Linked DNA regions of Alligator mississippiensis. The protein of the gene in region 2 purifies or fractionates together with the protein of the main gene of each other region. This does not show direct contact. Links are inferred from orthologs where the notes say so. Each region holds a gene or a part of one and is shown on either strand. Other genes may lie near its edges. The genes, in order: NOD1 and SUGT1.

Evidence for each region.
Region 1: the proteins of SUGT1 (region 2) and NOD1 purify together in Homo sapiens (affinity purification with western blotting; 3 studies listed by BioGRID and IntAct, with this or other methods). This does not show direct contact. The link is inferred for Alligator mississippiensis from reciprocal best matches to the Homo sapiens genes SUGT1 and NOD1.

The regions. Positions count from the first base shown.
Region 1 is NC_081828.1:140,549,631-140,560,522, reverse strand, and holds the start of NOD1 (nucleotide-binding oligomerization domain-containing protein 1), read left to right. Parts: upstream 1-5,643; 5' UTR 5,644-5,952; intron 5,953-6,699; exon of another isoform or gene 6,700-8,583; intron 8,584-10,892. UniProt on the Homo sapiens protein: Pattern recognition receptor (PRR) that detects bacterial peptidoglycan fragments and other danger signals and thus participates in both innate and adaptive immune responses.
Region 2 is NC_081824.1:407,688,458-407,699,619, forward strand, and holds the start of SUGT1 (protein SGT1 homolog), read right to left. Parts: upstream 4,771-11,162; 5' UTR 4,685-4,770; coding exon 4,665-4,684; intron 4,590-4,664; coding exon 4,544-4,589; intron 1-4,543. Other genes in the region: ELF1 (ETS-related transcription factor Elf-1), read right to left, coding at 9,787-10,405. UniProt on the Homo sapiens protein: May play a role in ubiquitination and subsequent proteasomal degradation of target proteins.

The DNA.
Region 1 (10,892 bases), on a different chromosome or scaffold from region 2:
CTTGACTTCATGCACCATATAGAAAGCTATATGTAAATCTTTATGGAATCTGGACCTAATTCTCTGTAATCCCCTTATCATACTGTTGGTAAAGTTCATGTTGTCACATCTTCCTGTTACCGATCATCATAAAAAAGAAAGCCAGTTGGGCAGCTTCCCGTTAGGAATATTAAGGCTGCAGAATTGAGCCGCTTGGTTTTTAAGTGTTGTACATTCAGTTCTCCAGTCTGTTTTAAAAGTCCATGGGGGTGCCAAGTGAGAAATTATACTTTGGCTTTTTACTTAACTAACTTCTGTGGAACAAGACCTCTTCTGGCTGGAAGGTATTAATGTGATTATTAAAAATCAATCATTTAGCTTCTGTTTGGTCATTAGCTGCTAAATCACTTCCTGTGAATTGGTGTAATAAATTACTGAGTATTGGTACTAACTTGTGTGAGAGACATATGCCTTTGTCAGTCCACTCTAATTAAACTCCTACCAGTACTGTTTAAAAAATTCCTACCAGCTTCAGCTTAAAAAAAAAAAGGGAAAATTTTAAAAGTCAATAGATATACTTCATAGGAGGTATTTCTAAAATGCTAATTCTACAGGTCACCCTCTGCTATTGAAGAAACTACCAGCTAAGGATAGCATTTCATCTGTAATCGTCTTTAGTGGTAATTACTAGGGATTGGTGAATAAGGCCAGATAAAATAAGTGGCTGCAATTGAGTTGTTGTTTTTGTTTTTTAAATTCCGAAGAGTTGGTTAGCTATTTTTATCCCGTTGGATCATTGCATGTCTCTCTACTTTCTGTAGAGGTCAGAAGGATATGCACAAGCTCTATTCCAGTGGTTATTGAAATCAATGGCAGTCTTTTCATTCATCACAATGATTTGAATTGGACCCAAAAGAGAAATGCTGTGAGTCTCTCTACAATGCTCACAACCTCATATGAATTGGGAAGTGTTGTAAACTTCGCAGGAGTCTGACCTTTTGATAAATGATTACTGATGGGGAACTGAACAATGTGAGGAAACACAAAACAACTGAATTTTAATTTTTTTTCTTTCTATATGGAAGATCGTTTAAATATTTTTTCCTTGATACACAGGAGATAAGAGTTACATCCAGAGTTAATGGGACTATGTATTATGAAATGTCAAACTTGCACATGAACTGATTTATCTTGTCTTTATTGCACAAACTTTTTATAAGTGTGTGCCAGAACAGTTCATTTCATTTCTAGGTGTCATGTGAACGATGTTCATGGAAGCTGAGATCTCAGATTTTCATTACGCCCCATTATATGCATACTGTATACTGTACTGTATACTGCATATATGAAACCTATGTAATAGCAACTAAAAATTGGGGGGTAAATAAAGTAACAACTGCCAGATTTCTTTTGTGTCTCTTTAGTGTAAGTTGTCTTGCTTCAAAAATGCTTATTGTAGCTTCTGTATGGTAGCTGCTGAACAGGGACTGCCAGTGGAGGCTGCGGGCCCCTGCCTGCTGTCTCTGCCTGCTGTTGATATCCTAGACCAGCCCCACTTTGCTTCTGTAGCTTCTGTAACCTGAACCTTTTGTATGAATGTACAACTGAACTTACCATACTGAGAATACTCATCTGTAAATTACTGCAGGTAAATTTGTTTCTATAAATAAAAAAGTGAGTCTAATTAAATTAAAAATTAAAGCAAGACAAATGACTATTCAGGCTCTAAGGTGCTTAGGTGATCTCAAAAAAAAATGTTTGTTTTAAATGTCACTTGAGCAATTCCAACTGAATGCTTTTTAATTCTTATAAGATGGTTAAAAGGGCACAGTAAAACACTCCTGATCTTATTGCTACTTTAATAAGACTCAGGCCAAAATAAAACAACTGTCAAAAGAAGAGAAAGAAGTAACTTTTATCAAGGATGCTGAGAATGATAATATAAAAGAAGAGCAGTTCTGGCGATCCTGTGAGCTGGAACTGAAAAGCAGAGAGACAGAATGAGAAAAGGGTCAAACTACAGCTGCCCCTGTCAGTTCCATCTGGTACAGGACAAAATCTGGAAGAAGGTGAGAACTGCTATTTAGTGGGTCAGACCATAGGTCCATCTCACCGAGTCTGTGGGTGACTGGGTTAGACGAGGGTTCTGTTTGTGCCGTTCCCTTCTCACTTAGAATCAGAAAATCAGGTTTGGAAGGGACTTCAGGAGGTCATTTAGTCAAACTCCCTGCCCAAAGCAGGACCATCCCCAACAATATCATCCCAGTCAAGGCTTGGTCTAGCTGGGTCTTAAAAACCTCTAAAGATGGAGATTCCACAACCACTCTGGGTAGCTTGTTCCAGTGTTTTACTACCTTCCTCATGCAAGTTTCTTAATACAGTATCTAACCTAAGCTTCCCTTATTACAGCTTACGATCATTGCTCCTTGTTCTGTCATCTGCTACTAGGGCTGCACGAAATGGAAGCATTCTGTTTCGACAGAACAGTGTTTCGTTTCGAATTGTGTTTCAAGTCGAAATGGCTGTTCCGTTTCGTTCCATCAAAACATTTTGCCGTTTTGATCCTTCGCTCATAGGATATAATGGGAAAGGTTGAAACTGACTATAACTTTGCCATTTCTATCCAGATTTGGATGAAACTTGCAGGAATGGTAGCCCCTTCTGAGAGCGTGACCCGTGCCAAGTTTCAAGAAGATAGGTGCAGGGGGTTCAGAGAAACTGCACCCCAAACTCTTGAGAGAAAAACTCATGTCTTGTGCCTGTTAAGCCACAGTGGTGTCAAAACTGGAGGCATGCTAGCCCATGTGGAGTAATGGTCACAGGCTGGATGCCCTAGTTGTGAAGTAGTTTTTCCTAATGTTGAGCCTGAAACAAGCCTGAAACCATCTTCCAGGAGTTTGTGACCATTACTCTTAGTTTTCCCCAAGGGTGCCCTGGTGAACAGTTGTTCACCGAGCCCTAGATGTATGCTTCAGATGTAGCGGTAAGCTGCTACCAAGTCCCCTCTCAGCCTTCTCTTTTTCAGGCTGAAGAGTCCCAGGTCCTTTCCTTGTATAGCTTGCTGTGCAAGTTTCTGATCGTACAGGTAGCCCTTCTCTGGACTCTCTCAAGCTTTACCATGGCCCAGTTAAGGTGTGGCACCCAGAACTGGAAACAGTACTCCAGCTGCGGTTTCACCAATGCTGAGAAGAGCCGAGTAGAGTAGAAGAATTACTCCTTTGCAATGGTTTTGCTGGAGATGCATCAATTGATGCATGCCAGTGTATTGTTGGCTCTGCTGGCTATAGCATCACACTGCTGGCTCATGTTCATACTGTGGTCAGTTATTACCCCCAGGTCTGTGGTGGCAAATGATGATCTTCAGTCCTGCTGCCTGATGAGAGGCAACAGTTGCACAAGCACCTAAGTCATGAGTTTTGCCTGCCAGCAGCTAGGGGTGCAGGTCCCCAGAACCCCCCTGTACCAATCTCCTTGACAGTTGGCAGGCTTAGGGGCTGCAGCAGGGCCTAGCAGCCAGGCCTGCAGTAGTTTCCCCTCCCCCATGCTCCAAGACAGACACAGTCCCACAAGCACCCATGTCACAAGTTTTGCCTGTCAGCAGCCAGAGGTGCAGTTTCCCCAAACCCCTGCACCTATCTCCTCGACAGCTGGCAGGCTTCGTGGCCTCAGCAGGGGCTAGCATACCTGCAGTTTTGACCCTGCTGTGGCTTAACACTTACATGTGACATGAGTTTTGCTTTCAGGATTTTGGGGTGCAGTTTCTCCAAACCCCCTGCACCTATTGCCTTGAAATGTGGCAGGCTTTGTGGCCTCAGCAGGGGCTAGCATTCCTGCAGTTTTGACCCTGCTGTGACTTAACACGTACACGTGACACAAGTTTGGCTCTCAAGAATTTGGGGTGCAGTTGCTCCAAACCCCCTATACCCATCTCCTTGAAACTTGGCACACTTTATGCCCCCAGAAGGGGCTACCATTTCTGCAAGTTTTATACAAATCTGGCCAGGAATTACAAAGTTATAGGCTGTTTCAACCTTCCCCATTATAGCCTGTGGGCGAAACGTCGAAGCAGTGTCGGAACGGCAAAACATTTCGACTTGCCTTGTTTTGTTTTGACCATATCTGTTTCGTTTCGATTTTGCTGTTTCAACCTTGAAATAGGTTAAAACAGCGTCGAAACAAAACTGGTGGTGAATTTTTGCACAGCCCTATCTGCCACCACAGAAAACAGTTGAGCTCCATCCTCTACAGAACCACCCTCCAGGCTGTTATTAAATCCCCCCTCAGTCTTTTCTTCCCCAGACTCAGGGGCAATGCGTAAGGGGTGCACACAGGTGCACGTACACCCCCTGAGCATGGCAGTGCACCCTCTACAAAAAGGCAGCATCTGCAGGTGGTCTGTAATTCCTGCTAGTGGCAGCTGCAGGCGGTCGCTGACCCTTGGTCAGCGCTTGCCACCCCCCGCCACCACCGGTGACGTCTGCGGGAGCTCCCTGCTCACTGCCGCTCTGCCCCCCCAGCTGCCAGGGGCACACACCATTCATGTCCAGATTAAATAAACCCAGTTCCTTCAGCTTCTCCTCAAGTCCCGTTCCCCAGACTTCTCATCAGTGGCAACATGTAGGGAGTGCACATGCACCTCAAGAGCACTGCTGCACCCCCACAGCCAGCATCCCTGCTTAGGAAGCGGGCAGATGGAAACGCTGGTGCCCCCCCTGAGAGCACTGGCCGGGGAGTGGGGGCGCCAGGAGAACCCGTGTGCGTCCCTGGCCCTTCGGGCAGTGTTTCCTCTCAGAGCCAGCTTAGAGGGAATGCTACTTTTGGGTTGCCATGCTCGGCTCCCCGGTCACTGACTGGCCGCTGGGGAGGCAAGTGTCCCCGCTGGCTTAGGAGGCACCAGTCACCCATGCCCCTCATTTTCATTGCCCTCCACTGGACTCCCTCCAATTTGGCCACATCCTTTCTACAGTGGGGGGCCAAAAAGTGGACACAGTACTCCAGATGTGGTGTCACTAGGGTGACCATCATAGAGGACAGTCCAGTTGTCCTCTGTCCTCTATTGATACAAAACCGGACACCTTTATGTCCTCTATTTTTCTTTTGAAGAGAAAAATTTTCTCTTGAAGAGAAAAATAGAGAACATAAAGGTGTTGGGTTTCATATCAATAGAGGAGAGAGTAGCAGAAAACCAGAATGTCCTCTATGATGGCCACCATAGGTGTCACCAGCGCTGAACAGAGGGGAAGAAGCACTTCTCCGTCTGCTGGCAACACTCCTACCAGCGCAGTCCAGTCCCCCCTTAGCCTTCTCCCCAGCCAGAGCAGGAGGCTGGCTCATACCCGCTGATAAGGCAAAAGGACCCCCCAGGTCCTTTTCTGCATGAAGGTTGCCAACCCTCCAGGATTGTCCAGGAATTGGACATCAATCTGCAGGAGAGTGCTGAGGGTCCCCCAGGGCATTCATGGCAAGAAGTATGAAATGTTGAATCCCATGTAGACAGTCGCCCGGTGGGCTTTTAAAGCGTGCCGGTCAGGTGCATTTTGCCCTCCTGAGCTCAGGTCTCCCCGGCGCAGTCCGCGAGGCGAGGAGCCCTCCCGGGGTAGAGTCCGGCGGGGCGGGGCGGGGCGCTGCGCCCCATCCTGCGGCCTCCGGCACGGAAGGGCTCGGCTCCGGGGCCAGCTGGGATGCAGAGACCTCAACGCCGCGGCGGCTGGAGCAGGGGTTGGGCCCGGCGGCTGCCCCGAGGGCGCTGCCACCCCGCGGTTTCTGTGCTATTCGCCCGGGTGTAACGCTGCCCGGGCCCCTGACGCCGCGCGGGGCGGGCTGGACCAGGAGCCGCCGGGGGCAGCTTCCAGCGCCGAGCACTCCCGCGGGGCGGGGAGGAGGAGACGCCCTGCCTGGCTCCCTCCCCTCCCGGCCCGGGCCCCTGGCCTCGCTCCTCCCCTTTCACTTTCCTTTCCCGGGGCCGGAGCGGCGGTAAGTGGCGCGGGGCTGGGGTCGGGCTCCCGCTCCCGCCAGCCGCCTCGTGCCGCCCCGCCGGGCTCTGGCCCGGGGCTGGCCTGGCTCTGCCGGCTTTGCTGTGGGGGGAGAGGGGAGGCAAAAGGACCGGGCAAGGCTGGGGCCCTGGGCCCCAGCCCCTCTGGGAGAGGAGCCAAGGCAGGCAGGAGGGCCCTGAGGAAAGGCAGCGCGTGCCCAGCTTTGGGAACGAAAAGCTAGAAAAGTGAACAAAGTGATCCCCTGACGTCTGCTGTCGCGGTCATGCCGCACGTCTGCGTTTAGTCAGCCTCCGCAAGACTAAGGAAAACAGCCCTGCAGAGGGGACCGGTGGACCAGAGAGATATGATGCCCACCGTCCAGATTGAAGACGAATCTTGCTTGCAACTGGGGCTCTTGCTCTTGGCTTTATTTGCACTTAGTGCATGGAGGGGCTCAGCTTGCCTGCAGATTGCAAGTGGGGAATTTCAGGTTGCTTCAATGGGAGGCGCACCCTTTTCCCAGAAAATTATCCCATGACTCATCTGCTCTTACACAGGGCTTCAAAAATTTACCAGGCAATGTCTAGGTAGAGAGTTAAATGAGGCAGCCAGAGAAAAACAGGGGTAACACTAACCCAGGGACAGGCAATCATTTTGGGCAGAGGGCTGCTTACTGTTTTGGCAAGCCATCAAGGACTGCATGACAGGCAGCCTAGGGCAGATTATTATTTATTTTCTAAATTTTTTAGGGGCCCCGCGGGCCGGATAGAACGGCCTGGTGGGCCGCTTCCAGCCCCCGGGCCGCATTTTGCCCACCCCTACACTAACCTAAAAAGTAATCTGAACCTTTCCCCCTGCTCTCCTAGTTGGAAAGACATTGGGTGAGTGAGTGTGAATGCGTTCTCTTTTCAATCCACTAAGAGAAACAGAATAAAGCCAGACTCGGGCTCAACTGTAAATCCATCCATTTCAATGTGATTTACATACTAATACAGTTTAGGCCTATATGCCCTGCTCAGTGACCATGAGGACAGACATAGAAGTCAGCAGAACTATGCAAACGTAAAAGGCACAAGGCTTTTTGCCTCTTCTCGCCTCTGGATTATGTCGATGCTCTAAGGATCAGCAGGCAGCCCTGTACATCACCTTGTTACTATTGTTATATTGCTAGTAGAGGCAACCCCCGCTTAGTGCTCTTAATCGGTTTCTGAAAAACCAAGCAATAAGCGAAACGGGCATTAAGGAAAACCGAAGGTATTTGACGGCCCAAAATGGTGACTGCAAGTGTTTTTAATGACCCAAGATGGAATTGGCAAGCATTATAGCGAAACTTGCGGAACACTAAGTGAAATCAGGTATCAATTTAAAATGAGCATTATAGCAAAATAGCGGTAAGCGAAACAGTCTTAAGCGGGGGTTGCCCGTAGTGATGTATGTTGGAGTAGTAGTGCCTGAAGGCTCCAATCAGAGTTCCAGTGTGTTAGGAGCTGTTCCCCACTCTTCTCCCCAACTAGTTCCTGGCAAGAATTAATCTTGTTCCAATCATGAACAGATACCAAGCATGGAAATTTATCCGGAAAAAAATCCTGAAAGTGTGAAACAGGCAATATTTTGCACTCTTGCCAAGATCATTCACCAACTAGAATAATAAGATAGAATACTATCTCCCTTATTAGAAAGACTGGAATATTAGTCCAGTAAAACCACAGAGAAAAATTCTTCGTTAAGGGTAAGATAAAGGCTTCTTTTCTTTGTTTTTAGTGGCAGCCCATTCTGATATATGGCAAGAGCTTTTGGAAAACCGTAAAAGGAGTATCAGGAAGCCTACACCGGAGCTCTTTAATGACTCAGATTTGCCACTTCAGTCAAACCCGGAATTAATAAATCTCTGTTTGAAAAGAGCAGTATTGGGGAATCTAATGGCAAATCCAAATAAGGAGAATATACATGAACAAGAACACAAAACTATAAATGAAAATCGCTAGCCAGTTGTATAGAAAGGTGTACCTTAAAAGCAGCATGAACCATCAATCTGTCAGCGAGCATAATTAATTTCTTCTCTGAGTTCTTGTACATCTGTTGCTTCTCAGGCAACCAGGAACAATTAAAAAAGCTTACTGCCATTACTACCATTAAAAAAATGGTAGAGAGAGAGTGGGAAAAACACCACAGAGGAAAGATTGTCTTAGTTATGCAGGAGAAAAGGCAAAGTAACTCCAGTGAAACCATGGGAGCTATTGTGCATTAACATCTGTGTATGATTAGCATATGGCTCTTAAAATATTGGTTGACATAAGCATTACTGATTATAATTGTTACGCTGAGATTGTAAACCTGGATGAAATAAATGTTCACTCACGGACAATTTTTTTTTAAAATCAGAGTCAGGGCTTTGGATAGATTCTGCTAATGCACGGTTATAAAAGTAAAACCAGTTTTCTCTCATCTCTAGGAATTTTGTAGCATCAGTTTTCAGTAAAACTTAGAAACAGAGAAAAATAGGCCTCAAGAAACCATCTAATGCATGCTCCTGCCCAACTCAAGGTCATCCTTGTCTCAACTATCCCAGACAAATGTTTGTCTAACGTGCACTTAAAAAGTTCCAGTGATGGAGTCTCCATAATCTCGCTAGGTAATGTTTTAGAATTAAACTTAAAATTAAGAGTTAAAAATTAAAATTAGAATTAAATTTAATTGAATTTTAGAATTAAAAAGGTTTTCCTCATATCCAACCTAATTCTCCCTTGCTGCAGCTTAAGCTCATTACTTTTTTTCCTGTCCCCTGTGGACACAGAATATTTGATCACCTTCCTCTTTATAACAGTCTTTTTTGTAGTTGAAGGTTATTGTCAAATCCCCCTGAGTCTTCTCTCCTTTGCACAAAATAAGATCGGTTCTTCCAACTTTTCTTCATATCTTTCTAGCCTAGTAATAATTATTTTCGTGTTGCTATCCTCTGAACTCTCTGATTTGCCCACATCTGTCTTGAAGCATGATGCTCAAACCTTTAATGCAGGGGTATGTGTGTGTACTCATATGCCTCTCAAATGTATTGTTTTTTCCTACTCTTGTAAATTCCCTTTACAAGGGTTGCATCTACACATGCCACTATGGTGTCATTGTTACTGCACCGTCATTTAATACTTTGGAAGTATACTGAGGGAGCGCATCACTACAGCAGTGTAGCGGCTGGTTTGTGCCTGCCGACACTACATCACCATAGTGCAGGGGCGGGCAATTATTTTGAGTGGAGGGCTGCTTACTGAGTTTTGGCAAGCCGTCAAAGGCCGCATGACAGGCAGCCAGGGGCAGAAAAATTTAAATTTTCTAAATTTTTTAGGGGTTCCACAGGCTGAGTAGAATGACTTGGCAGGCTGCATCCGGCCTGCGGGACACATTTTGCCCACTCCTACTGTAGTGCATTGCTACAGTGACATAGTGCCACGTGTAGGCATGTCCACGTAATAGTAAAATGTTGGAGGCTCTTTTATAAGTAGTAGTCGAATGAAGGTAAGTTCCTAAAAATAACTTGGGGGTGGGGGGTTACAACATTCTCTTTTAGTAATTTGTCATCTTAAATATCAGTAAATTACCTACCAAATATAGGACCAGAAAAATCAAACCATTTTCAGTCTCTCACAACAGCTCCAAGAAGTGTTCCTGTACAGGTTCTGACTGCAAATATTTAGTACTGCATGTAGCAAGAGAACTCTCCAGTGCAGCGTAGCAGTACTAAATAATCACTTTGGTCAGTAAACAAATCTAACTTGAAGGCACAGAGGAAACATTTATTGCATGGATAAAGGTTGTAGCTGTGTTGGTCTAAATGCAAAAGCAGTCAGTGGGTTAGAGGCAATATCTTTTATTAGACCAACTAGATTTTGCAAAAAAAATTCTTTATTTGCAAGGTTTTGGGCTCATGTGCCCTTCCTCAGGCAAAGGAGAATGCAAAGATTGTAAAATTTCTCCTAGGTAGGTTTCTAATAAGACAGTACTATCCTGGTCACTGTCAGACTTCATCACCAAAGGCTAAGATTATGCCACTTGCCCAGAAGATGACCTGGCCTAGCAGACTGTTCAGTACCTGTTCTAAGGTCTGCTGGCATATCAACTGAAAGGAGGTCTCAAGGTATAGTTTTTGCCAGGAAAATGTTCATGCAGTAAATGCAGTCAGTGGGTAGAGGCGATATCTTTTATTAGACCAACTAGGTAGATGCAAAAAAAATTCTTTATTTGCAAGCTTTCAGGCTCTCATACCCTTTCTCAGGCAAAGGAGAATGCAAAGATTGCAAAATTCCTCCCAGGTAGAAATGAAACCCACCTGACCAGACCCAACCCTGAAAGTGTCAAAATGACTTGTTTTCCCCTGAGCCACACGGTTTGTGTTGCATCCATTAGAGGTGACACAGAATTTCAGAAAATATGAGACAAAATAGAAATGTAGGGAGAAAGGGAGTGCAATAAGAGGAGTTACCACAGAGGCACGATGTGGTTTATTTTTTAAGCAAGAGGCACAAATACATATGGACTCTCAGGAAGCCAAGCTGTTTCTGCCAAATACTGGATTTTTATCACAGTGAACATCCAAATGTAGTTTTTCAGGACTGACTATGGCAGGGGCAAGCAATTATTTTGGGCAGAGGGCCACTTACTGAATTTTGGCAAGCCATCAAGGGCCGCGTGATAGGCAGCCAGGGGGCAGATAAATATCAATTTTCTAAATTTTTAGGGGCCCCGCAGGCCGGATAGAATGGCCTGGTGGGCCACATACGGCCCCCGGGCCGCATTTTGCCCACCCCTGGACTATGGCAACGTTTAAGCTAGAAAAATCTCTTACAAATCAGGGAGAAACATTCATGTCAGTCCTAATACTCTAGCATGGCAGTGGACAGAAACTCAAATTTCCTATTAGCATGTAACGATTCTGACACTGGAATCCTC
Region 2 (11,162 bases):
GCTCATGCTGGAGATGACTCCCAAATAATTTAGCTGTAAATGGGTACCTACTCATTCATACAGGGCAGTCAAAGGCATCTGGACATGCTAGCCACATCCCCTTGTGCAGATGTAGGCTGGCTACTGAAACAGGTACAACTTCATTACACTAGCCAGGTTGGCAAGGTTCTGGAGCCATGGGCCAGATCAACCTAGCTCTGGTCCCAGAAGGGTCAGTGCTTCCAACCCAGCACATAGCTGCCACTGCACTCACCATGCCACCTGACTACAGAACACACCACACTGGTAGAGCTGGCTTCACAGGCTGTATGTTGCTGACTAGCATACTGAGCAGTCAGGCATGGGTGGATCTCTGACCTAGACCTCTGGACAATAATTCTACTTGCTGAGCTATAATTTTACTGGATTCCTACTTTCAGAACTCAACTACCCACCATGAGGCAGGTTGAAATGTTGAGAGCTTGCAGGAACCTCAAGTGCCTTGAGGAACAGACAGACCAGTCTCATAGTAAAGGTTTTGGGTTGGTGTTCAGAGATGAACACCTTAAGGAACCATTCCTTGCATTTCAACATGGCAGAATGAGCCTAGAGAGCACCTGTAGCAATGAATTCCGGATTGTCCCAACAAAGGACTAGGATGAAGGAGGAAAGGCCAAACCATATGAGTAGAAAAGCAGTAGGGAGGCCCGTTACACAACTGCACTCCTAAGGATTCAGCGCATTGTTTTGCAGTTCAAAACAAATGCAGTTCAAAGTCTCAAGTCTGACACTGCAAGTCCACCAGGGGAACAAATATCACTCGTCTTCCATGACCTCCCATAGCTATTGTAACAAAGCACTGGCCAGAAGTGGGGAGGCTTATGAACAATGTAAACAAGTTTGTCACCAAGAAAAGTCTGTGAAACTCCTAGCCATGCGAATGATGCCAGTGCGACCACAAAAGTGGGCTACTCTCAAAATTAAGTGTAAAACGCTCTTCTGACCCTTCCCAGGAAGTTCCTCTCTCAAACAGGGATGGATCCAGAGAGCGCACAGTGGTAGATCATATGCTCTTTCACACCACACAGCAGCCAGAGACTTTTTAAAAGTCCCTATAACAAGTGAAAACACTCTCTCTCGGCACCTCTTCCCTTCCCCTCTATACTCAGCAGCACTCCTTCCTCTCTTCTCTTCCCCTCCCATTTCTCACCTGCTACTGGTGCTGTAACCATTGGAGGGTGGGGGGAGCTTCAGAGCAGCTCCTGTACTGCTCCCATTAGTGCAGGGGCAGGCAATTATTTTGAACGGAGGGCTGCTTACCCAGTTTTGGCAGCTGTCCAGGGCCACATGGGTAGCCCCGCCCCTTGACAGGTGCCCCACCCCCTGGTCACTACCTTGGGACCAATGTCCCAGGGCCAGCACCAGTGGGGCCCAAAACGGGGCACAGGCCAGCAGGGATCCGTGGAGCTGGGCTGGGCTGCACCAACAGGGAGGGGGGGAGCTGGCCCGGGTCCACAGAGCCCCTGCCAGCTGGGACCCCACACTCCTGCCACCCTGCTCTAGGCTCCACTGGCACCGGTCCCGGGACACCCATGCAGGCCCTGTGCTCCTACTGGCTCCCCGCCTGCTCACACCAAGTGCCCCCCAGCCCCAGTACAGGCAGGGGGCAGCACACAGCCCCAACCCCCTGCTCGCCAGCAGGGAAGAAGCTGGTGCTAAGCATGGGGAAAAGTGACCCCTCACCTGCCCCACGGCCGGCACCCCGCATTGCAGGCGCTCGCAGCCTGTGCAGGGCTGTTCAGAGCAGGCATAGGCAGCCCCAGGCAGGCTGCAAGCAGCTGCAGTGCAGGGCACTGGCCATAGGGCAGGCGAGGAGCTGTTTTTCCCCGCGTTCAGCACCAGCTTGTAACCCGCCCCACTGCCAGCCTGCAAGTGGGGCCGGATTACAAGGTGGTGCTGAGTGCGGGGAAGAAAGCAGCCCCTCCCCACCCCATGCTGAGTGCTGCAGCCACTCGCAGCCTGCCTGGGGCTGTCTGTGCCTGCTCCGGACAGCCCCCCCGTGGGCTGCGAGCGCCTGCAGCGCAGGGCACCAGCCATGGGGCAGGAAAGGGGCTGCTTTTCTCCACACAGGGAAGGAGACCAGGGAAAAGCTGAGCGCGGGGGGGAAGGGGTCCCTCTCCCGCCCCGTGCTGCAGGCGCTCGCAGCCTGCAGAGGGCTGTCTGGAGCGGGCACAGGCAGCCCCACACAGGCTGCAAGCAGCTGCAACACAGGGCACTACAGCGTGGGGCACCAGGCCCCAGAAGGGGCTTCCAGCTGGGGGGTGGGGCCAGGCAGGCCCCCTGTTGATGGAGCCTGCCAGGCTTCCCCTGGGTCCTACTGCCCTTGGTTCCTGTCATTTTTGACAGGAACCAACAGCAGAGAAATATTAATTTTCCAAGTTTTTTTAGGGGCCCCGTGGGCTGGACAGAATGGCCTCACGGGTCAGATTTGGTCTGCAGGCTGGATTTTGCCTGCCCCTGCGTTAAGTGTGTGGGGAGCCAGGCTCACCTGGGAATAGCAGTAGCAACAGGGAGGTTCCCCCTCACTGCTGGGTCCCTCCATGGAGTTCCCCTCTAGCCCAGCCCAGGAACAGACACAGGCAAGAGTCCAACTGTTGCTGTTCCTGGCCCTGGCCCAGTCTGGCTTCCCACAGCCCTCAAATGGAGTGAGATAGGAGAAGCCATGACAGCAACAGACAGTAGACCTCCCTGAGCCCAAAGGCAGAAGTGGTGAGGGGGAGAAAAGGGTTGCTTCTGAGTAGGGAGGGGAAAGAAGAGAGGTACTGAGAAAGGAGAGGATATTTACCTGGAAGGGAGGGTGTCTTGGTTGGGTATGGGTGGGGGAGGCGCTGGGACCCAGGGACATAACCAGAAGCTACACCAGAGTCCACTCTTGTGAGATGTTGCATAGCTAATTGGCTGGCGATGATGACAGAACAAGGCGCAAAGGTCTTGAGTGGCAGCAAGGGAAGTTTAGGTTAAATTAGGGTTGGCAAGCCAGTCAACTGATCAATCAAATGCTGTCAATTGACTGCCTATTTCATGACTGGTCAAAGATTATAGCAATTTTACACACAAAAAACCTACACTTTTTTGTAGTTTTCTGAACAGAAAACTTTAAAAAAAAAATTTTGACACATTTCTTAATGGAAAATGTATGCTTTTTCTGAGTATTTGGACTTATTGGCAATTTTTTCCCCCAATGTTTGACCCATAGTTCATTGGCTATTTGATCCAGTCAATTGACCAAGATTTACTTGACTGGTCAAATACCCAACCCTAGGTTACATATTAGCAAAAACTCTCTCACTAGGAGGATAGTAAAGCACTGGAACAGGCTACTTAGAAAGGCGGTGGGTTCTCTATCCACAGAGGTTTTTAAGACCTGGTTAGACAAAGCCTTGGCTGGGATGATCTAGCTGGGGATAGTCCTGCTTTGAGCAGGGGTTGGACAGTGTTTCTCAACCCAGGGGTCACGACACAAAAGTGGGTCACAAGAATATATAAAAGGGTCATGAGCAAACTTTAAAAACAAGTTTTCCTTTAGAGGAGAAAAATGTGGGAAACTGCAGCTTTTCCCTTGCAGGCTGGCAGTTCCAGCCTGCAAGGGGCTGCCTGGGGTCCCCCTACCCCACAACCTCCTCACCCCACACACTGGGGGGCTGGGGCCTGGGGGCAGCAGGTCAGGAGTGAGCAGCACTGGGTCGGGACTGGCCATCAATGTTTACAAATGGGTACTGGCACAAAAAAGGCTGAGAACCACTAGACTAGACCTCCTGAGGCCCCTCATTTTTTATGATCTTGTATCAGTATCTGGTAATGATAAACAAGCAGCTACATATTTTACCAGAGTAAAAATACCGCCAATGTCAACACAGAGAAAAATAGGAAGAAAGGGAAGCTGGGCAGTAAGAGAGGCATGCCAACAAGGCGAGGCTGACACAGGTAAGATTTTTTGGAAAACCAATAAAGCAATCACAGAAACAGCCTGTAAAGCAGTAGTAAAAATAAGAAGGTGCAAGTAAGAAAATGTCTAGGAAGAGTTTGGGAACAAAGGGCTGCTGGACTACAGCCCTGACTGTCTCAGTGAGACTCTGAACTGCTGGACCAACAGGCCAGAGACCAAGACTGGCTTGCAAGGAAAGGAGCGTGCTTTCTAACTTAAGTGTGCAGAAGCAGACGGCTCCGGCACAGAAGCCCCTGCCTCCTCAGCAGTGTCCCCTCAGGAGCACATAGGTTCCCCCCCCCACTTCCACCCCTCCTCGCACCCCCTTAGCTCCCCCCAGGGGAACAAACCATTTGGGTGCGGGGGGTGAAGACACAACCAGCCCCTGTACTCAGGCCATTAGGCCCCGGGTAGAACGCTCGGATCCACCCCCCACCCCGGGGCGCCTTGGTGCGGCCGCCGCACTCGCTCTATTAAGCCCCGAACTAAGCGAACCATGCGGCGCCGGGCGGGGGGGATGGGACTGGGAAGAAAGAGACGCACCCTGCGGCGAGACCCAGCCCCGCCCCCCAGCCTCACCTGCACCGCCGCCACCGGGTCGCAATCGATGTCCGCGTCCGAGAACCTGCCGAGAGACACAGCGTTAGCGCGGGGCGGGCCGCCGGCGGCTGGCACAGCGGGGAAGGGCACCGGGACTCACCGCGGAGAAGCCGCCGCCATCGCACCCGCCCCCAGGAAACTTCTGGAGAAACCAAGTCCCAGCCGCCGCGCCACCGCGCGAGGGCTGACGGGACGGAGGGGGTATGCCGTGCGCCCTACGCGGCCTCACGTGATGGCCATAGAGCGGGAGGACTGGCCGGAATAGAAGGACTCCTGCGCTGAGCCACTGGTGGGTGGGGCGCTAATAGCGTCGCGCGCAGGCGCCACCCGCCCCTTGGCCCGATGATGCCGTCTGTGTCTAGTGGCCATTGGACTGCTGTTTCCGTCGGTCTGCGCACGCGCGGGCGGTGCCACAGCGTCCCCTGGCGGCCGGCTGGACTAGACCCCTCAGCAAGGGAGGGGCTGGGGACTCCCTGCCCGCGCCTGCGTAGCCGCGGCTGAGGGCGGGGTCAGGGCCCGGGTTGGGGCGCGGCCCGGCGGGGTTGTGCGGATGCGTTGTAAGGCTGCAGAGCGCGCGGTTGCTGTCGTGTGCGTACGGACATTTCACCCCTGTACAATGTATGACGATTAAAAGTGCTCAAAATATATGCGGTCTGCTGTCCACATTGTATCCATATTGGTCTAGAGAAAAAAGCAATCAGAACGGGGTAGAGGTGATATCCTTTATTAGACCAACTAGATTTTTGCACAAAAAGATTCTTTAATTGCAAGCTTTCAGGCACCAGCACCCTTCATCGGGCATCGGCGAAAAGATTGTAAAAGTTCTCCTGATAGAAATGAAAGTTCATATTTCCTAGGAGAGTCAAAGGTGATAAAATCTCCAGTTTGGAACAGCTCATTTTATATGCAGAGAAAAGCTGCAATAGTCTGTTTACCTCCAAGTTGTTTGGTGTCAAGCAGGATGTAGTCATGTTTCCTTCTGGCGTTTCATACTTGACAGACGAGTTAATAGATGGAAAGCTCTTCTGGGCCAGCATTTCTTATGTGCTAATATGTCTCTGAGCTCTGATGAGGCTCTGCCATGCAGCAAAAGCAAAACCCTAGCCGCTCTCAGGGAGTCTTAACTGAGTTTGGGGTTTGAAGCCAGCATTGTCTTATGACCAAGGATCCTGGTTTTCTCTAATAAAAAACAAAACGAAACACATTTTTGGATATAAAATATTAACTCAAAGTCCACATTTGTCCACAATTAAAATGAAACCTACCACACACACGCATAGCGTTTCACTTTAATCACTGGAAAATGGATTTGGGAGGAGTGGGGTTATATCCAAAAATTTGGGGGTTTTTTCCTCAGAGAAATCTAGGATCCCTGCTTATGACTGCTCGCCTCAAAATAAAGAAATGCTTCAACTTTGATGACCCAGTTCTCACTCAGTCACTCACTCGCTCCTAAGTACGGTGACCAAATGGAACAATGGACAAATACCTCATTGAGCCAAATTACCTCTTGACCATGGCCAGGGTCCTTTTCTGGTCCTTCTTCCTCTGATTCTCTGGTTAATGTGAAATCCAGGACACTGCCCCCCACCTCCACTACAGGCAAAAACAGGGGCGAGGCACCACTGGTGTTACTACTCAGAAAGTGAAGGAGTCAATGGCCTGTTTAGGAATCTAAAAGTTTTCTTTACTTCACAGGTGGTGGTTCCTTCCAGCTGCTGCTGTGGCCCCTGGTCCCTGACTCCATGAAGACTGGTTGCATGCACAACCCCGGCCCTGGCCCAGCCTGCACCTACTCTGGCCAGAGTGGACTACCTCCAGACCAGCCAAGACCCATGTGCACACCACCGGCCCTGAGCTGCCCCACCCTCGCTCTAGATCACCCGCCCACGAGTGGCAGTGGTGGCAACTGGGCAGAAGCTGCTGCTGGGCATGGGGGAAAAGCAGCCAATTCCTCCTCATCACTGCTGGGCTATTCTTGCTCTGCTGCCTGGAGCCTGCACCCAGGCTGCCCTGTGGCTCATCTCCATTGCGGTCACCACTGCCACCAGTGCTGCCTCTGGGCCACCCAGCAGGGCAGCAGTAGCAGTGGAGAGGAGGTGCAGGACAACCTGGGCGCAGGCTCCAGGAGGTTGCAACAAGAAGGACCTGGTAATGGTGAGGGGGGAGGTGGCTCCTTTTCCCCTGCACGCAGCAGCAGCTTCTGCCTGGCTACCACAGCTGCTCATTGTGGGCAGGCCAGTCTGGAGCAGGTATGGGGTGTGCCATGGTCAGGGCTGTGTACATGGGTCCCAGTTAATCTAGGGTTTGTCCACTCCAGTCAAGGCAAGTCCAGAGCAGAGGCAGGTCAGGGCTGTGTGCTCAGCTGCTGCTGGTCACTAGTGGCAGTGGCGGGGAGGAGCTGCAAGGCAAGGGGGTGGGGGTCAGGAAGAGGGGGTGCTGACCGACCCATGACAGCTCCCCAAAACCGCCTATGCTGCTCACGGACCCAAATAATTGCCCATCGCTATTATAGAGCTTGTCTTTCTCTAATAGACAAGTTTTCCTCAGATTTTTGAGCACACGTGCATGCATGTAGGAGTGCTTCAACCAAATAAAACTATCAATATCAATAAGTGTTCCCATATACTCTATCTAGCACTAAAAAACGGGATGGTAAGCTGCCTTTAATTTTGTGAACATGGCCAATAAAACTCCTGACTAGAAACCTTACTGTTTTTCGTAGCTTTCACACTGTGAATGGGAGTGGAATTCTGTTCATTTTAAATGGTTTCCTCCATAAAGGAATTTTCCACACTCCATATTATGAACACTTATGGCAAAATATATTAAACTTGTCAAAATATAATTTGTTTTTCTAATAAATTAGATACATTAAAATTCATATAAAATAGAGTTCGATTTATCCTTTGATGAAAATTAATATAGCCAATCTTTATACCTGCTCAGTGTCACAACCCAAAGTTGTGATTTTTTGTTTGTGTGTGCTTCGGCACTGCTAAATTATTTTTCCCGCTAAATTGCAGCTTCTTTGCACGGTGGAGTTTTCTGCTGCAGAAGAGAACCCCGGTGCAACGGAGAATTTCCCGCCAATTTGAAGCTTTCTTTGCATGGTGCATTTCTTTTGCATCTAAGAAATGCACGGTGCAAGGAGTTCCCACCATTTGTATGAGAATTTGTGCCAAATTATTGGCCGGTTCTAACATATGCACACGTGGCGGCTAGCGATTGGCTTGCTAGCCGTATAAAGAGCTTGAGTGGTTTCCGCCTAAGTTGGAGGACTCCATGAACACCAGGAGAGAGAGAGAGAGAGAGAGAGAGAGAGAGAGAGAGAGAGAGAGAGAGAGAGAGAAAAAACCTTCGCCTCGTGTGAAGATCTCTAAGCACTGCGGATCCTTATGGACCCAACGCATTTCTTAAAAGCCTCTAGCCTCTCCCCATCGCCGATAGATTCCTAGACGTATCCCTTCCTGTACAAGAAACTACCGAACCCACGGAGCTTCAACAACTCCGGGGAAAAGAACGAATTTGTCGTAGTCCTCTAACAAGGATTTAAGCGGAGCTGTACCTGGAAACTGTCCAGCCTACACCACGACCATCTTTGGTGTAAGTAAACAATCTTTAAATCAACCACTACGCGTCCGTGACTAATTCTAGCTCGCCCCCGGTCTTCTCCGACCCCGCGTGCCCGGGCTGCTGGCCACAGCCCGCGTGCGCAAAGACGGGCTGCGCCTCGCACCCGGCCCGCACACTCAGTATAGCAGTTTACTATGGAAACCAATAGAATTTTGAAGAACTACAGAACTAAATGAAACTAGAATTTAGCTTACAAATGTTTGTTCACTGTCCCAACTCCATGTTATCAGAGGACTCTGTTTAAGTTTTCAGCAAGTCATCACAGAAAGAAGCATGTTGTGATTTTGATTCCAAAAAGCCCTGAACAATTTGTAGTTTGTCATTTTGTGATGTCCAGTAATTGTGCAGAGACTTTCAGAGGTAAGAGAGAACGTTGAAACCACCTGTGCTTGTTACCAAAAATATAAAGAGTTAATTCAGTATGTCTGGAGTAGGCTGTTACAGTTCACTTGTAACAGTATGGCACAAAGCTGTTACATGCTCAGACAAATAGCTTGTGGATCAGTATCAGTTTGTGTTTTTTCCACTTGATTTATTTTCATAATAAACCAATTAAAAATACAAAAGACAAGGAACTCAAAATCCAAAGGGCTCCATCATTTAAAAATTTGTCTTTAAATACAAATTCACTCTGGAATATGAATACATATAACTTTAGACCTCTAAACACAATGATCTTATTTTCATCTATCAAAATTTTTTCTATAGAAACAAGGTAGTTGAAAAACTTCCTTGTAAAATTAAATGTACATTATTTACATATGAAAAAAGAATTCTTAAAAGTATTAATCTCAGAACAGCGGCATAAATTGTATACAATTCACTTTTCATCCTTACAAAATAATCTGAAATAGAAAGCAAGATAGTTAAAATCTGTAGCCACAAAATGGTATAAAATAATTGCACCAGTAGTGATGCCACTAGTTTCTGTAATTAAATATATTTGATGTGTTCTTATATCAAAAATATAGATCTGATAATGTCCATTACTGGTGTAAATGTTTTGTGTACTCTCAACAGGAGTGTATTCTTATTTTGCACACCCATTAGTTTGTGCAAAAATGCAACAGGAGGATACCTGGTTGCTACTGTCTATTACTTAGACTGATTTAATTAACTGATATGAAATAGATATTTGGTAAACTTGATAATCAAAATTCATATACATGGAATGAAAATGATGTTCTCTGGAAAGTAGCTGTTGCGTCAAAAGTCAGGTGACATTTGCAGATTAAACAGAAAAGGCTATAATATGTTATTGCAATGTAAATTAGCAACAGACAGAAAATGCTCAGTATATAAGACGTTCAGAACTTTGGCCAAAAACTCAAGAGAAAGTTTTCATAGCATAAAATGCATGTTCCTTCATGCTTGCATTTTGAAACATGAGTATATAATTTTATTTTTATGATAACATTTAGCAATTAACAGAAAATCAAAACCCAGTCTAAAGAATGACTTCTAACAATCAGCTGCAGAAATTAAGTAGCTCAGTAAAACCTGCTTTGGAATTAAATCATATATACAAGAACTGAAAAGGTTCCATCACATTTATGAAAATCATCATCCACAGGGGTTGGTTTTTATTAATATGAATTTGGTTCCAATTGTTCACTTTCTTGTTTTACTTGTATATTAGCTGGGAATCCATTGGAATTGGACAACACCATCAAAAAAGGCTGCTGCTGGAACCTCTGCTCCGACTGCTCAGTATCCGCTATTTTGTTATCTTCTGTCTCCTCTTTTACCATTCCTTGTATAACCGTTTGTTTGGTTTCTGGTGCTTTAATTACCGAAGTGATCACGGTGCCAGAAGGATGAGCTACCACCTGTGAACTGCTGGCTGAGAAAGTTACCACGGGGGTAGGAGCGCTGAAAGATGGAGATGAAGCCATATTGACTGTTCCATTGCAAATGGTCTGCACATTGCTGGTGAGAACCTGCTGAACTTGAGCAGGGGTAAAAACAATGGATGAAGGAGGAGACACTGGTTTTGGAGACTGCAACATGACATTTTCTTTAAGAACTGTCATGGACTGTGAAGTAGGAATGGCTTGTAGGATAAATTTTTGGGGAGTTGTTGCTGATGCTGGATCTGTACTGGCTATCACTGTTGTAAGAGGCACTGTTTGGAGTGTTACAGTGTGAAGTTGCTGGTTTCCAGGTGAAACAACCACTGGAACTTGGGCTGGGGTCTGTAAAGTCCTAGCAAAATTAGAAAACAGAACATATTAGACTGTTCCCAGATTCACTACTGAATAGCCACTTGGCAGCAATCTACTGATATTATTAATCTGGGGGAAAAAGTAAGGAGGCTGCTTTCCATCAAACAAAACAACATAACTCTAAAAGGGAAGGGGTATCACAGGTGAATGTTAAGGCATTAATAAACCCTTCCCAGAATTGAGCTCCTGCCTTTGAAGCATTCTACAATTTAGTGAGAAAGACTAGGAATCAATTAATTCAGTTTTCTGTATCAACCACAGCAAGCTAGTCAGTCCGGAACATGATACTTTACTTTTTCATTGTCTGTTTCACAGATTTGTCAGCTGGAAACACAAAAACCTAAATAATTCAAGATGCAATAACAAGAGTCCCCACATCCTATAAAAAAGGTGTCCATGTGCTTAATTTTGAACATTGCAAGTGTTTATACAATGTGTGTGTTCCTGGGTCAGAACTTCCCATTCAATCACCCATGTACTATGTACTCATCACCTTCAGCTGAGTAGAACTTGGTTCCACAGTCTTCTGTGCTTTGTTAGCTATCCAATCTGTGCTCCAAGGTGTACAAACTACCATCACTCATTAAAACATCAAGACACTGCAGTGAAATATGCTGGTTTAGAAATGTAACTGAAGTCTGTGAATATTAATGTAATTATTCAGTATAGCTATTGGCTCTGAAATCTTTTCCCTTGGTGAAGTAAATGATATAACAACAAAAATTCAGTGGTAATGC